Linked DNA regions of Macaca fascicularis. The protein of the gene in region 4 binds, or shares a complex with, the protein of the main gene of each other region. Links are inferred from orthologs where the notes say so. Each region holds a gene or a part of one and is shown on either strand. Other genes may lie near its edges.

Evidence for each region. The genes of interacting proteins can lie anywhere in the genome.
Region 1: the proteins of SF3B3 (region 4) and DDX42 are in contact, whole or in part, in a cryo-EM structure (PDB 7EVN), measured with the Homo sapiens proteins. The link is inferred for Macaca fascicularis from reciprocal best matches to the Homo sapiens genes SF3B3 and DDX42. Residues at the interface, in NP_036558.3 of Homo sapiens: Glu159, Ala160, His161, Tyr211, His219, Val220, Val221, Arg222, Lys223; in NP_031398.2 of Homo sapiens: Lys145, Gly146, Ile147, Arg148, Asp149, Asp150.
Region 2: SF3B3 (region 4) and ZMAT2 share a complex: the UniProt entries of both Homo sapiens proteins name them as parts of the spliceosome B complex. The link is inferred for Macaca fascicularis from reciprocal best matches to the Homo sapiens genes SF3B3 and ZMAT2.
Region 3: SF3B3 (region 4) and SF3B4 share a complex: the UniProt entries of both Homo sapiens proteins name them as parts of the SF3B subcomplex of the 17S U2 SnRNP complex. The link is inferred for Macaca fascicularis from reciprocal best matches to the Homo sapiens genes SF3B3 and SF3B4.

What each region holds. Positions count from the first base shown.
Region 1 is NC_088390.1:70,319,620-70,323,143, reverse strand, and holds part of DDX42 (ATP-dependent RNA helicase DDX42), read right to left. Parts: intron 3,007-3,524; coding exon 2,780-3,006; intron 335-2,779; coding exon 224-334; intron 1-223. UniProt on the Homo sapiens protein: ATP-dependent RNA helicase that binds to partially double-stranded RNAs (dsRNAs) in order to unwind RNA secondary structures. Unwinding is promoted in the presence of single-strand binding proteins.
Region 2 is NC_088380.1:147,179,419-147,181,717, forward strand, and holds part of ZMAT2 (zinc finger matrin-type protein 2), read left to right. Parts: intron 1-480; coding exon 481-554; intron 555-1,012; coding exon 1,013-1,158; intron 1,159-2,299. UniProt on the Homo sapiens protein: Involved in pre-mRNA splicing as a component of the spliceosome.
Region 3 is NC_088375.1:111,356,203-111,358,352, reverse strand, and holds the end of SF3B4 (splicing factor 3B subunit 4), read right to left. Parts: intron 1,208-2,150; coding exon 1,034-1,207; intron 923-1,033; coding exon 735-922; 3' UTR 509-734; downstream 1-508. UniProt on the Homo sapiens protein: Component of the 17S U2 SnRNP complex of the spliceosome, a large ribonucleoprotein complex that removes introns from transcribed pre-mRNAs.
Region 4 is NC_088394.1:69,784,865-69,788,388, forward strand, and holds part of SF3B3 (splicing factor 3B subunit 3), read right to left. Parts: intron 2,729-3,524; coding exon 2,577-2,728; intron 2,128-2,576; coding exon 1,972-2,127; intron 1,017-1,971; coding exon 861-1,016; intron 332-860; coding exon 188-331; intron 1-187. UniProt on the Homo sapiens protein: Component of the 17S U2 SnRNP complex of the spliceosome, a large ribonucleoprotein complex that removes introns from transcribed pre-mRNAs.

The DNA.
Region 1 (3,524 bases), on a different chromosome or scaffold from region 4:
AATTTCCTGAGCAAGCCTAGTCAACCAAGTACACAAAGATGCTTCTTCAATAGAAAGTTACCATAAGAATGAGCACAGAATTGACTCAAATCAGATTAAATACAAATTCCCTTCTAGACAGGGTTTTAAACTCACTGAGGCTTTCCTGGGCAGATGAGAATATTCCTAATGACATTCAGGACATGAGACCAACCCTAAAGACACTACTGTAGTCTAGACTCACCATGTTCTCAGAGCCCAGGCCAGGCCGCTCCCTATAGCCTAGGCCTCCTCCACCAATGTTCAGCTTTTTTCCTTTCCCTCCTTTGAATCGAGATTTCCGAAACCAGGCATTCTGCATTGAACAAAATTCAAGGTTAACTCAAGGAAGGGAGAAAAGACCAGAGGAAGAGGATGAGGACAAAGAGGAAATTAAGTGGGAAGGGGGAACTCTTTGCTTAACTTTCAGCCAGCACATTTATGCTAAGGGAGGAACTGTTCACAGGAACCACAGATTAGTTTCTCCTTGGTAGCATAATCCACCAAATTTGAAAAGCGGCTGAGTTCCTTATCTAAGGCTTCCTATAGTGCTCCCTCCCTCAGGCTCTCCTGGAAGGGAAGTTGTTCAGAAAAGCTTCAAACACAAAGAGTCACTTTGGCTACTTCTAACTTCCTTGAGAAAAATGAGATTATTTTTTATTTCTCAAACCATATACTATTGGACATAAACATGTGGAGCTTAAAGAAATGGTGTGTTCAGAAGCAAAGGAAAAACGCTATGTGAAGTGAGGCTTATCAGAACTGACTATAGGGGCAGACTCCCAGAAAGGATGGTAGCCACACAACTGAAGATTTACCCACCAAGCCTAAAAGTTTTCATTGAACTTGACCACTGCCACGATACTACTCATCATATTTACTCATATTCTCTTAGGAATGCAGGGCGGTGGCTCACACCTGTGAATCCCAGCACTTTGGGAGCCAAGGCGGGCGGATCACTAGAGGCCAGGAGTTAAGACCAGCCTGACCGGCCGGGCGCGGTGGCTCAAGCCTGTAATCCCAGCACTTTGGGAGGCCGAGACGGGCGGATCACGAGGTCAGGAGATCGAAACCATCCTGGCTAACACAGTGAAACCCCGTCTCTATTAAGAAATACAAAAAACTAGCCGGGCGAGGTGGCGGGCGCCTGTAGTCCCAGCTACTCGGGAGGCTGAGGCCGGAGAATGGCGTGAACCCGGGAGGCGGAGCTTGCAGTGAGCTGAGATCCGGCCACTGCACTCCAGCCTGGGAGACAGAACGAGACTCCGTCTCAAAAAAAAAAAAAAAACAAAAAAAAAAAAAAAAAGACCAGCCTGACCAACATGGTGAAACCCCGTCCCTACTAAAAATACAAAAATTAGCCAGGCATGGTGGCACATGCCTCTAATCCCAGCTGCTCGGGAAGCTGAGGCAGGAGAACTGTTTGAACCGGAGAGGCTTCAGTGAGCTGAGACTGCGCCACTGCACTCCAGTCTGGGTGATAGAGTGTGACTCCATCTCAGAAAAAAGCGGGGAAAAAAAAAAAAAAAAGCAGATATCTCTGGGAAGGTTAAAGCTTTATCTGACAATCAAGTATTACCAGCAAAATAAAGTGCTTGAGAGGTAGGGCAGCAGGCTTGGGCAAAGTTCTGAGCACAGAAAGTCTGAGGTACAAAAAGAAATGGAAGAAAATGCCAAAGACAAAATCTGTCCTGTTTAAAAGGTCATTTAGGACTGGCTCTCTGTGCTCAGGAGCAGGGGAGGAAACATTATTCTCTTCTCTCTTGCAGTTCAGGTCCTTTACTCCTAGGACCAGAAACTCGGGCACTGCCACACTGCAGCTGAGTTGTACCAGTTATGTGAGCTGGCCTAGGCATTTGACAAACTCTTAACAGTTTCTGCTCTCAAAGTGTTCCAAACCCATTTGTAATTTGGGGACAGCATGGATTCAGATGACTCTAGGTTTGATTTGTTAGAATGCCTCACTTAGCTTTAGACTGGGAGCATACCTGGAAGATGGCAATCAGTGTGGTCAAAGGTCTAAGATCTCAGACTGCTGGGAATAGTTAAGAGGCACTATATAAGCCGGGCACGGTGGCTCACACATGTAATCCTAACACTTTGGGAGGCCCAGGCCAAGGCGGGAGGATCACCAGATGTCAGGAGTTCCAGACCAGCCTGACCAACATGGCAAAACCCCATCTCTATTAAAAATACAAAAATTGGCCAGGCATGGTGGTGGGCGCCTGTAATCCCAACTATTTGGGAGGCTAAGGCAGAAGAATCGCTTGAACCCGGGAGGCGGAGGTTGCAGTGAGCTGAGATTGCGCCATTGCACTCCAGCCTGGGCGACAGAGCGAGATTCTGTCTCAAAAAAAAAAAAAAAGGGGGGGGGGCGGGCACTATACTATACACATATTGTTTCAAAGACATCACACATTTTTAGCCCCCCAGAAGAAAAGTTTTATGGGAGAAGAGCACTAAGAACAGTAACCATCTTTGAGATTAAATTTACTCGTAAGTGTGCTATGGGGTGAAATTACAGGGACAGATTTTAGTACAAAGGAATAGCTTTTCAAAACAGATGTTGTTGAAAGAAGGAGAAGACCAGATAAGACTAGATGAATTTCAGTATCTCACAATTCCTATCTGTACCTCATAAGCCCCACATCCTCCCCCCCACCCAACTTTCTTGTCAAGTTTTTATGTTGTCTGCTCCAGGACTGCTAAAATGTCTTGGTCTTACAACTAGGAGCAACTGAAAGTGTGCCCAGTCCCTCACCTGCATTGCCAGATCTAGGAGTTCCTTAGAAACGTGTTGATTGGCTCCTTCTAAGTTCCGGACCAGGTCACCAGCAAAATTGCTGTCCTTGGGAGTGAGCAGGGTATAGGCCACACCTTTCTCACCCGCTCTTCCCGTGCGGCCAATCCTATGCGTGTGAGTATCAATGTCTCGTGCCACATCATAGTTAATGACAGTCTTAATTGAAGGAATGTCCAGACCACGGGCTGAAATAAAAAGCAACCACATTCTTTTATTCTTCATCTGTAGTCAAAGGATCAAAGTAACCAGAAATGCTAGTGCTCTAAGAAGCCACATTTCCTTTATCTAGGGGAAGTGCATGGGTTTGGTGAGCTGAGATACAGGCATGTTAAGTCACCACCATAGATTCCATGATGTTAGGCCTTCTAGTGTAAGGAACTTTTGTTTTTTATTTTTTTGAGATGGAGTCTCACTCTGTTGCCAGACTGGAGTGCGGTGCCATGATCTCAGTTCACTGCAACCTCTGACTCCCTGGTTCAAGCAATTCTCCTGCCTCAGCTTCCCAAGCAGCTGGGATTATAGGCACACGCCACCACACCCAGCTAATTTTTGTATTTTTAGTAGAGACGGGGTTTCACCATGTTGGCCAGGATGGTCTCGGTCTCCTGAACTCAGGTGATCTGCCTGCCTCCGCCTCCCAAAGTGCTGGGATTACAGGTGTGAGCCACTGCGTCTGACCAGGACTCTTATCTTTTGCATCAAG
Region 2 (2,299 bases), on a different chromosome or scaffold from region 4:
CAAGGTAGGTCTGCATTCATTTGAATCTTAAGTGGGGCTGGAGGATCTGCTTCCAAGCTCTCTCACATGCCTGTTGTTTGGAAGCCTAAGTTCTTTGCCCCATAGACCTTTCTATAAGACTGCTCACAATAGAGCAACTGGCTTCCCCGGAGCAAGTAACCCAAACAAAGACAGAAGGCATGGTTTTTAAAATAACCTAATTTTGGAAGATATTACTTTTGACATATTCTGTTGGCCACACAGACCAACTCTAGTACAAATTGGGAAGAGACTACACAGAGTAGGAATACCAAGAGGGTGGGGCTCATCCTGAGGCTGTCTTTGAGGATGACTGCTATACTCTCTCGAGAGCCAAGGCTTTATAGAAATGAAGGCTTAACACTTCTAAAAAGAAGTTTACCTAAAAATTTGTGTTTCTTGGTTGAAAATGATAAGATCCTTAAAACCATATTTGACTCAAGTGCTGTTTCTTCCTGTTAGATATTACTGCAATGTCTGTGACTGTGTGGTGAAGGACTCCATCAACTTTCTGGATCACATTAATGGAAAGAAACGTAAGGCTTGGAGGTAGCTTGTGACTAGGGCTGGAATTGGGTTTTGGAGGTGGGGTGGAATGGAAGGGTAGGTTTTTTTTTTTTTCTTCCTCTTCTTTTTACTGATCAAAAGAAGGCTGGAGTAAGAAAGGTAGTTTCTATTGGGCTCTTTTTTGATGCCCCTATTAGAACTCTCCAGTTGTTTCAGCACAGGCCATCTTTTACTTCATTATGTAATATTTCTGGAGGCAATGGGTAAGAGGCCTTATTCTGGAGGCCATGAGACTTTTAACAGCACCCAAACCATGTGCTGCTCCTGGGCCCAGCTGACCAAGGGAGTTTCTTTTAACCGTAATTATTTGTGCTGTGTGTTTTATGAGATGTCATATGAGAAGATGTCAGAGAAGTCAGGAAAATACTTTTTGAGGGGCTGAGGATGTTTTAATGAGCTTGCCTTCTTCACTGTTGACCCCATCCAGATCAGAGAAACCTGGGCATGTCTATGCGTGTGGAACGTTCCACCCTGGATCAGGTGAAGAAACGTTTTGAGGTCAACAAGAAGAAGATGGAAGAGAAACAGAAGGATTATGATTTTGAGGAAAGGATGAAGGAGCTCAGAGAAGAGGTAAGCCTCTCCTAGTCTTCCCCTCTGCCCCAGATTTGAGTTTTATGTTATGAATCATGGGAGACCCTGTCCTCATCCCACTCCTACTCCCAGCCCCAGAGTTGTATCTCCTGAGTTCTGTATATTAGCGGAAACATTTGTTGCCTTTGTTTAGGATTCTCATGATCTGAAGGAAATGGCTCTGAAACGACTTTTTTGTCCTGGACTCTGTGGGCCTTATTATTTATTTATTTTGGCGATACAGATATTTCTCAACTTCTGACAGGGTTACCTACCGATAAACCCATCATCAAGTTAAAAATATCTTAAGTCAAAAATGTGTAATACACCTAACCTACCATAGTTTAGTCTAGCCTACCTTAATGTGCTCAGAACACATTAGCCTACAATTGACCCAGATTATCTAACACAAAACCTATTCTATAATAAAGTATTCATCTCATTAATTTATTGAATACTGTACTGAATGTGAAAAACAATGGTTATATGGATACTTGAAGTACAGTTTCAAATGCATGTCAGTTTTGCACCATTGTAAAACTGAAAAATCTTGTCAGAGCATCGTAAGTTGAGGACTCTCATCTGTATTCTTTGATTTAATTTTTTAAAAAGACTTAACTTTTTTTTTGGCCGGGTGCGGTGGCTCAAGCCTGTAATCCCAGCACTTTGGGAGGCCGAGACGGGTGGATCACGAGGTCAGGAGATCGAGACCATCCTGGCTAACACGGTGAAACCCCGTCTCTACTAAGAAATACAAAAAAAAAAAACTAGCCGGGCGAGGTGGCGGGCGCCTGTGGTCCCAGCTACTCGGGAGGCTGAGGCCGGAGAATGGCGTGAACCCGGGAGGTGGAGCTTGCAGTGAGCTGAGATCTGGCCACTGCACTCTAGCCTGGGCTACAGAGCGAGACTCCGTCTCAAAAAAAAAAAAAAAAAAAAAAAAAAAAAGACTTAACTTTCTTTAGAGCAGTTTGGGTTTGCAACAAAATCGAGAGGGAGGTATAAAGATTTCCCATATACCCACTGTCCCCCACAACATGCATAGCTTCCTCCATACTTTTTTTTTTTAACTACAAGAGGAATTAACTAAATGTACCTAGTCCTAAGGAGGCCCATGAAATCAGGCTGACTGGGTCAGAATTCT
Region 3 (2,150 bases), on a different chromosome or scaffold from region 4:
AGGCAGAGGGATCGCTTGAACCCAGGAGTTCAAAACCAGTCTGGGCAACATGGCAAAACCTCACCTCTACAAAAAATACAAAAATTAGCTGGGTGTGATGGCATACACCTGTGATCCCAGCTACTTGGGAGGCTTTGGTGGGAGAATCACCTGAGCCTGGGAGGTTGGGGGTGCAGTGAGCTGTGATCATGCCACCGCACTCCAGCCTAGGCAACAGAGCAAGACCATGTCTCCAAAAAAAAAAAGAAAAAAGAAAAAAACACGATGATCCTACACTATAGATATTGGGTCCCCCTATCTTCCAAACTAGAAGATAAGCTCTATGTAAGGAAACAATTACTCTAGTGCACAGCAGAGCTCAGCAACTGCAACAGTACATTACAGAACAAGCCTTTAAAATGTGGAGTGAGCACCCTTGCTCCTACTCCTACCTTACCATTCTTTTCATGATACTCTGACATCTCTTCTTAAAGAAAAAAGTTACTGTTGTCAAGGAAAACACCACAAATAAACAAGCAGTTTAGTTTTATTTTCTCTGTGCATTTGCAAAATACTCAGGACCAACATAAAAAAGAAATACCTCCTGTGGAAAAAATTACATTAAAAAGGGGAATGGGCTGGGGGTGCTAAAAGGGATTAGTACCTTAGCCCCAAGGAGCTACAGCATCTCTGATTGGTCCAAGGAATAGAAAAGATATTGGGAAGATGTAACAGGAGGAAGGAAAAATGTGAATTTACTGAGGGAGAGGGCCTCGAAGTGGACCTCGAGGGGGAACTGGTGGCCGGGGAGTGGGTCTGGGTGGAGGGAGAGGCCCCCGCTGGTAGCCATAGGGTGGGGGTCGTGGAGGGCCAGTGTATCCATGCGGGGGCATCAGTGGAGGAGGTCCACGCATACCATGCGGAGGCATAGGACCTGGGTGACCTGCAAGGAGTAAAAGAAAAGTTAGTAAGGGCACGGGACAAGGGATGTGCCTACAGGAAGCTGTAAGAACATGATAGGTGCAGATGAGGGAGGTGGCTAGAGACGACTTACCCATGGGAGATCCGAATGGAGGCCCTCGGGGGGGCATACCCATTGGAGGAGGTCCAGGATGAGGCATTCCAGGTGGTGGTCGGGGTGGTGGCTGCCCCCCAGAGCCTGGGGGTCCAGCGTGGGGATGTCCTAAGCCATGAGGGCCATGGTGTGCCAGCTGCATCTGAGACATCCCTATGAAAATAAAACAGACACAAGAAGAAAAGAGACAAAGAGAAGGCAAAGAAAATAGAGAAAAGAACAAAATTAGAAAGAAAGTGACATCAGAAAGAGAACTATACAGAAAAAAGGGTACAGAAAATAAGGCTGGCTGGGCACAGTGGCTCATGCCAATAATCCCAGCACTTCGGGAGGCCTAAGTGGATCACTTGAGCCCAGGAGTTCAAGACCAGCCTGGGCAACACAGTGAGAACCCATCTCTATCAAAAAATACTTTTAATTAGCCAGGCATGGTGGTGTGTGCCTGTAGTCCCAGGTACTCAGGAGGCTGAGATGGGAGGATCAAGGCTACAATAAGCCAAAACTACACTACTGCACTCCAGCCTGAGTGAAAGAGTGAGACCCCATCACCAAACAAACAAACAAACAAACAAAAAAAGAAGAGTGGTAAAAAGTGCTCCCTATCCTTGACCCTATTCCAACAGCACAAACCAACCAATTACTCAATCAACTCCTTACGCTCGCTTCTCCCATGATTTAGGTACTGTAATAGTAATGCTGAAGTATATAACAAGTGGAGTAATGACTCTGTTGATAGGATTTGAGAAAGTAGCAGAGAACATACTGTCTAAGCCAAGATCTAATTCTAAAGGATGAATGCTTCAGGAGGGTAAGATCATGGGAAGAAAGCATCCCAAGCAGAAAGATTACAGGTGTGTCAAACAGCACAATATATTCCAGGAAATGCCAGTTAACTCAGTAATCAGGAGCAAAATGCAGTTACAGAAATGAGGGGCAGGGGCCAGCTCATAAAGAGCTGTGAATGCTATGGTAATGAGTTTGAGTTTTACTCTGTAGGTAAAAGGGAGCAACAGAGTCATTTTGAGCAAGTGTGTGCACATCTGTGTTTTAAAAAACCTACTCTGTGAAAGTAGATCGAAGTTAGGGAAAACTGGAG
Region 4 (3,524 bases):
CTTCTTTCCCAGCCTGATTTGTTCAAATCAAAGAGCTGAGAAAAGTGGAACCCAGAGTGACACTGTTTACTTTTCATAGGTAAGGATCTGAAACCACGGGCAGAGGAAACGCCTGTTACCAAACAAAGGAGTGTGTGAAACCTACAGAAGGCCTGATGTCCACAATGTAGGCCTCTGGATCTCTTACCTGTAGCCCAATATTCAGGTATAGGAAGCCAATCGAGCCCCTCTCACCCAGCTCATCCTGCTTCTCCGTCCCACCCATTTCCACAATACACAAGGACTCAGGCTGGGCTGGGAGAGCCTGCATGCTTAGAGGTTGCAAACAGTCCTGAGAGGGAGAGAAAAATCATAAAAACACAGAAAATGACAATTTTAGGACAAAAACATACCCAGAGAAATCTAATTCTAGGATTGAAAAAGTACTTCCTTATGCACAGAAAAAGCCCCGGGAGTGAGTTCTAAGAGAGTATTGGGTTATTAGTTATACCCAATCTCAGAATAAGCTTCAGGAAGATCATGCTTTCCTCCTTGTGTCAAAGAAGATAATGGTAAAGGTAATTAAGCAAAGCACACCTCCCGAAAAGTCATCTAGGGTCCTGCAGCAAGTCAAATTTATGCAGTCTCGGTTTTTAACTAAAAAAAGGGAGTTGAGGTTTAAGCCAAAGAAACATTTCTGTAGTCTCAGATCATATCCTTAAACCACAGCAGGAAACTCCTGGAACACACTGCAATGACAAGAGAAGTAGCAGGTATGGATTCTGGGGTCTAACCCAGTTGATCTCAGAGATGGACATCAGGAGTGGGCCAGATGCTCAGGTTCCAACCAGATGATCCTTGAAGCTCAGAGTGTCACTCACTGAGGGGTCCAGGGAGATGATTCTGACAGTGTTGTCCACAAGCCCCACAGCCAGGAAGCGAGACCGCTGCTCTCCAGGGGGTACATTGGCCAGACTCATGCACACCACATCTGCTGACATCTCCTTCCGTTCTGTGTACTCATTCAGCTGTCCTGACTATAAGAGGAAAGACAGAGCGAGGTCAAAACTACAAAGGGGTGGGTCTATATGCTCCAATTCACCCCAAAACCCTGGATCCAGAGAATGAAGGACGGCTGTTGTATTTTCTTCTGCATACTCTCACTCCTCTTACTATAATCAATGACAAGAATTTCTCTACCTGAGTTCTCAAGACTGAATTTAATAGGCTCACAGCAAGCAAAATGAGTATCTTCCATCAATAAGAGAATGAACAAGGTCAATGTGCCACAAATTTTCTTAGCCAACTTTGCTCTCAGGAAATGGAGATATATAAAACTGTTTATGTGTTTACAAGAATACTTTGGTGAAGGGAATTCAAATATGGTTGAAGACAAAGACATCTCAACCAAAGGTACAGTCAGGCTACAAATCTGGCCACACTAGAGCCCTCCTGAGAGCAAGGTAATTATGTGTACTGAACATTCTTCCATATAGAAGTTTTCTGAAATGGAATCAGACTGCAGAAATCAATTCTATGCCAAATATTTGTTGGAAAAGTAGGGAGTGAAATGCAGGAGGAGCAAGTGTTTCGTTGCTAACAGGGGAATTCATAACTCTACCCAGAATTAGACATCAACTTACCCTTTTTCCCCATCTCTGTAAAGGGCCAAATTGGTTTGTGAACACTGTCACTCCAACTCCCTTTTTTTTCTCTTTTTTTTGAGATGGAGTCTCGCTCTGTTGCCAGGCTGGAGTGCAGTGGCATGATCTCAGCTCACTGCAACCTCCGCCTCCCAGGTTCAAGCAATTCTCCTGCCTTAGCCTCCTAAGTAGCTAGGACTACAGGTGTGTGTCACCAGGCCCATTAATTTTTGTATTGTTAGTAGAGACAGGGTTTCACCATACTGTCATCTAAATGACTAGATTACAATGCCCATCCTTCCCTCTGGACCCTGCACTAAGTCCCACAGTGAATGATAAAATAACATACGGGATCCATCTCAAAATAGACCAACTCTCCTCCCGTCAGGGCAATCACCACTTGTCGCTGGTTCACTGCACACTTCACAATTGTTTTCTTTCCAGGGGTCTTCCACTCATTGACTCTCTTGTCTGCTCGTATGTGCCGAATGCCATCTGGATAGACCTAGAGTCAGTAACAGAAAGAAACCTGACTCTAACAATTTGATTCATCACTCAGAATGACCCTCACATCTATCAGATCTGTCACTACAATCAGATGTAGGGCCACTGCATTTGAGTAACCAGTTGAATCAATGACAAAAGAGTTAGCAGGCCCCAGGCAAGGTCAACTTTTAAATAGTTAATGTTTTGCGGTGTCCACTTCAAAGAAGTTCAAAGCTTATTAACAAAACACTTACAAAGATCTTTACTAGAGATGAAAGCTGCAGTGATGTGGCTCTGTAACAGAAAAATGGCAAATACAGAGGGGGATGTTATGTGCCAAAATCATAAGCTCCGTCCCTAAGGCTTACTGGAAGGTGAGAGTGAAGAGACATGAACACAGCAGCCACATCACAATGAAGGCCAAGAAAGAACAAAGCAGGCCAAGTAGGTAAGCTCTAGAACCCTCACCTGCACCAAGGCATCATCTCCTAATAAGGAGCAGGACAAGGTCGGGGTGGTCCCCAGGAACCCAGAGTCAGTCACTTCTTCTACAGTCTCTCCAATGGACAACACCAGGGTGGCATTCACGAAAGACACAATGATGTAGGCATCAAACTCATCTGAAAAAGAAAAGAAGGGAGCTGGTTAGATAAGAACTCACCAGAATTACAAAGCCAAATGAAACACTAAGAGTTCTCTTCAGAAACCTTCCAAGGCACTTCTTCTATGCGTAGTTATTACACACATACACACATACACATGCACACAGAGCAAGATGATCCAGAAGAAAACTAGGGGTCATAAGAGCCTACAGATATACCCTGCTTCCTCAATGTTTTCTTGAGACATCTGCTAAAGAAGTGAGAGGGACAAAGCAAGGGAATCGGAGGCATGAGGACATTTTAAATACTACAATGTTGATACATGAACATACTGAGCTAGAGCTTCATTTATTTGTGCCAGTTGTCAATCATACAACCCCTTCCTAAGAAGAGATAGCTAGAGCTTCATTTATTTGTGCCAGTTGTCAATCATACAACCCCTTCCTAAGAAGAGATACTCCTTCTAACTAGGAAAGACCCCTAACTTCTTCCAAAAGAAGCTTATGTAGAAATGAACATAAGCTCTAATTAATAAAACAGAGATTACTTAAGCCTCTGTGACACTAACTCATTCTAGGGTTGGAAGCTGAGAATCCTAGTCCCAGTGAGAATGATGTAAGAAAACTAGATAACCAGGAAATGGGGGGTGGGGATTGTTTATATTGTTATTCCTTGACCTGTCTGGTTTTTCACTATTTAGAAACAGAACAATTGTGTGGTCGTGAGCAATCCTATTAGAATTTGCTTCTTCTAATTAAATGTGGTTGAATAAACACTAACGAGTTTCTCAAGGAAGTCAGACGACTTGAGGTAT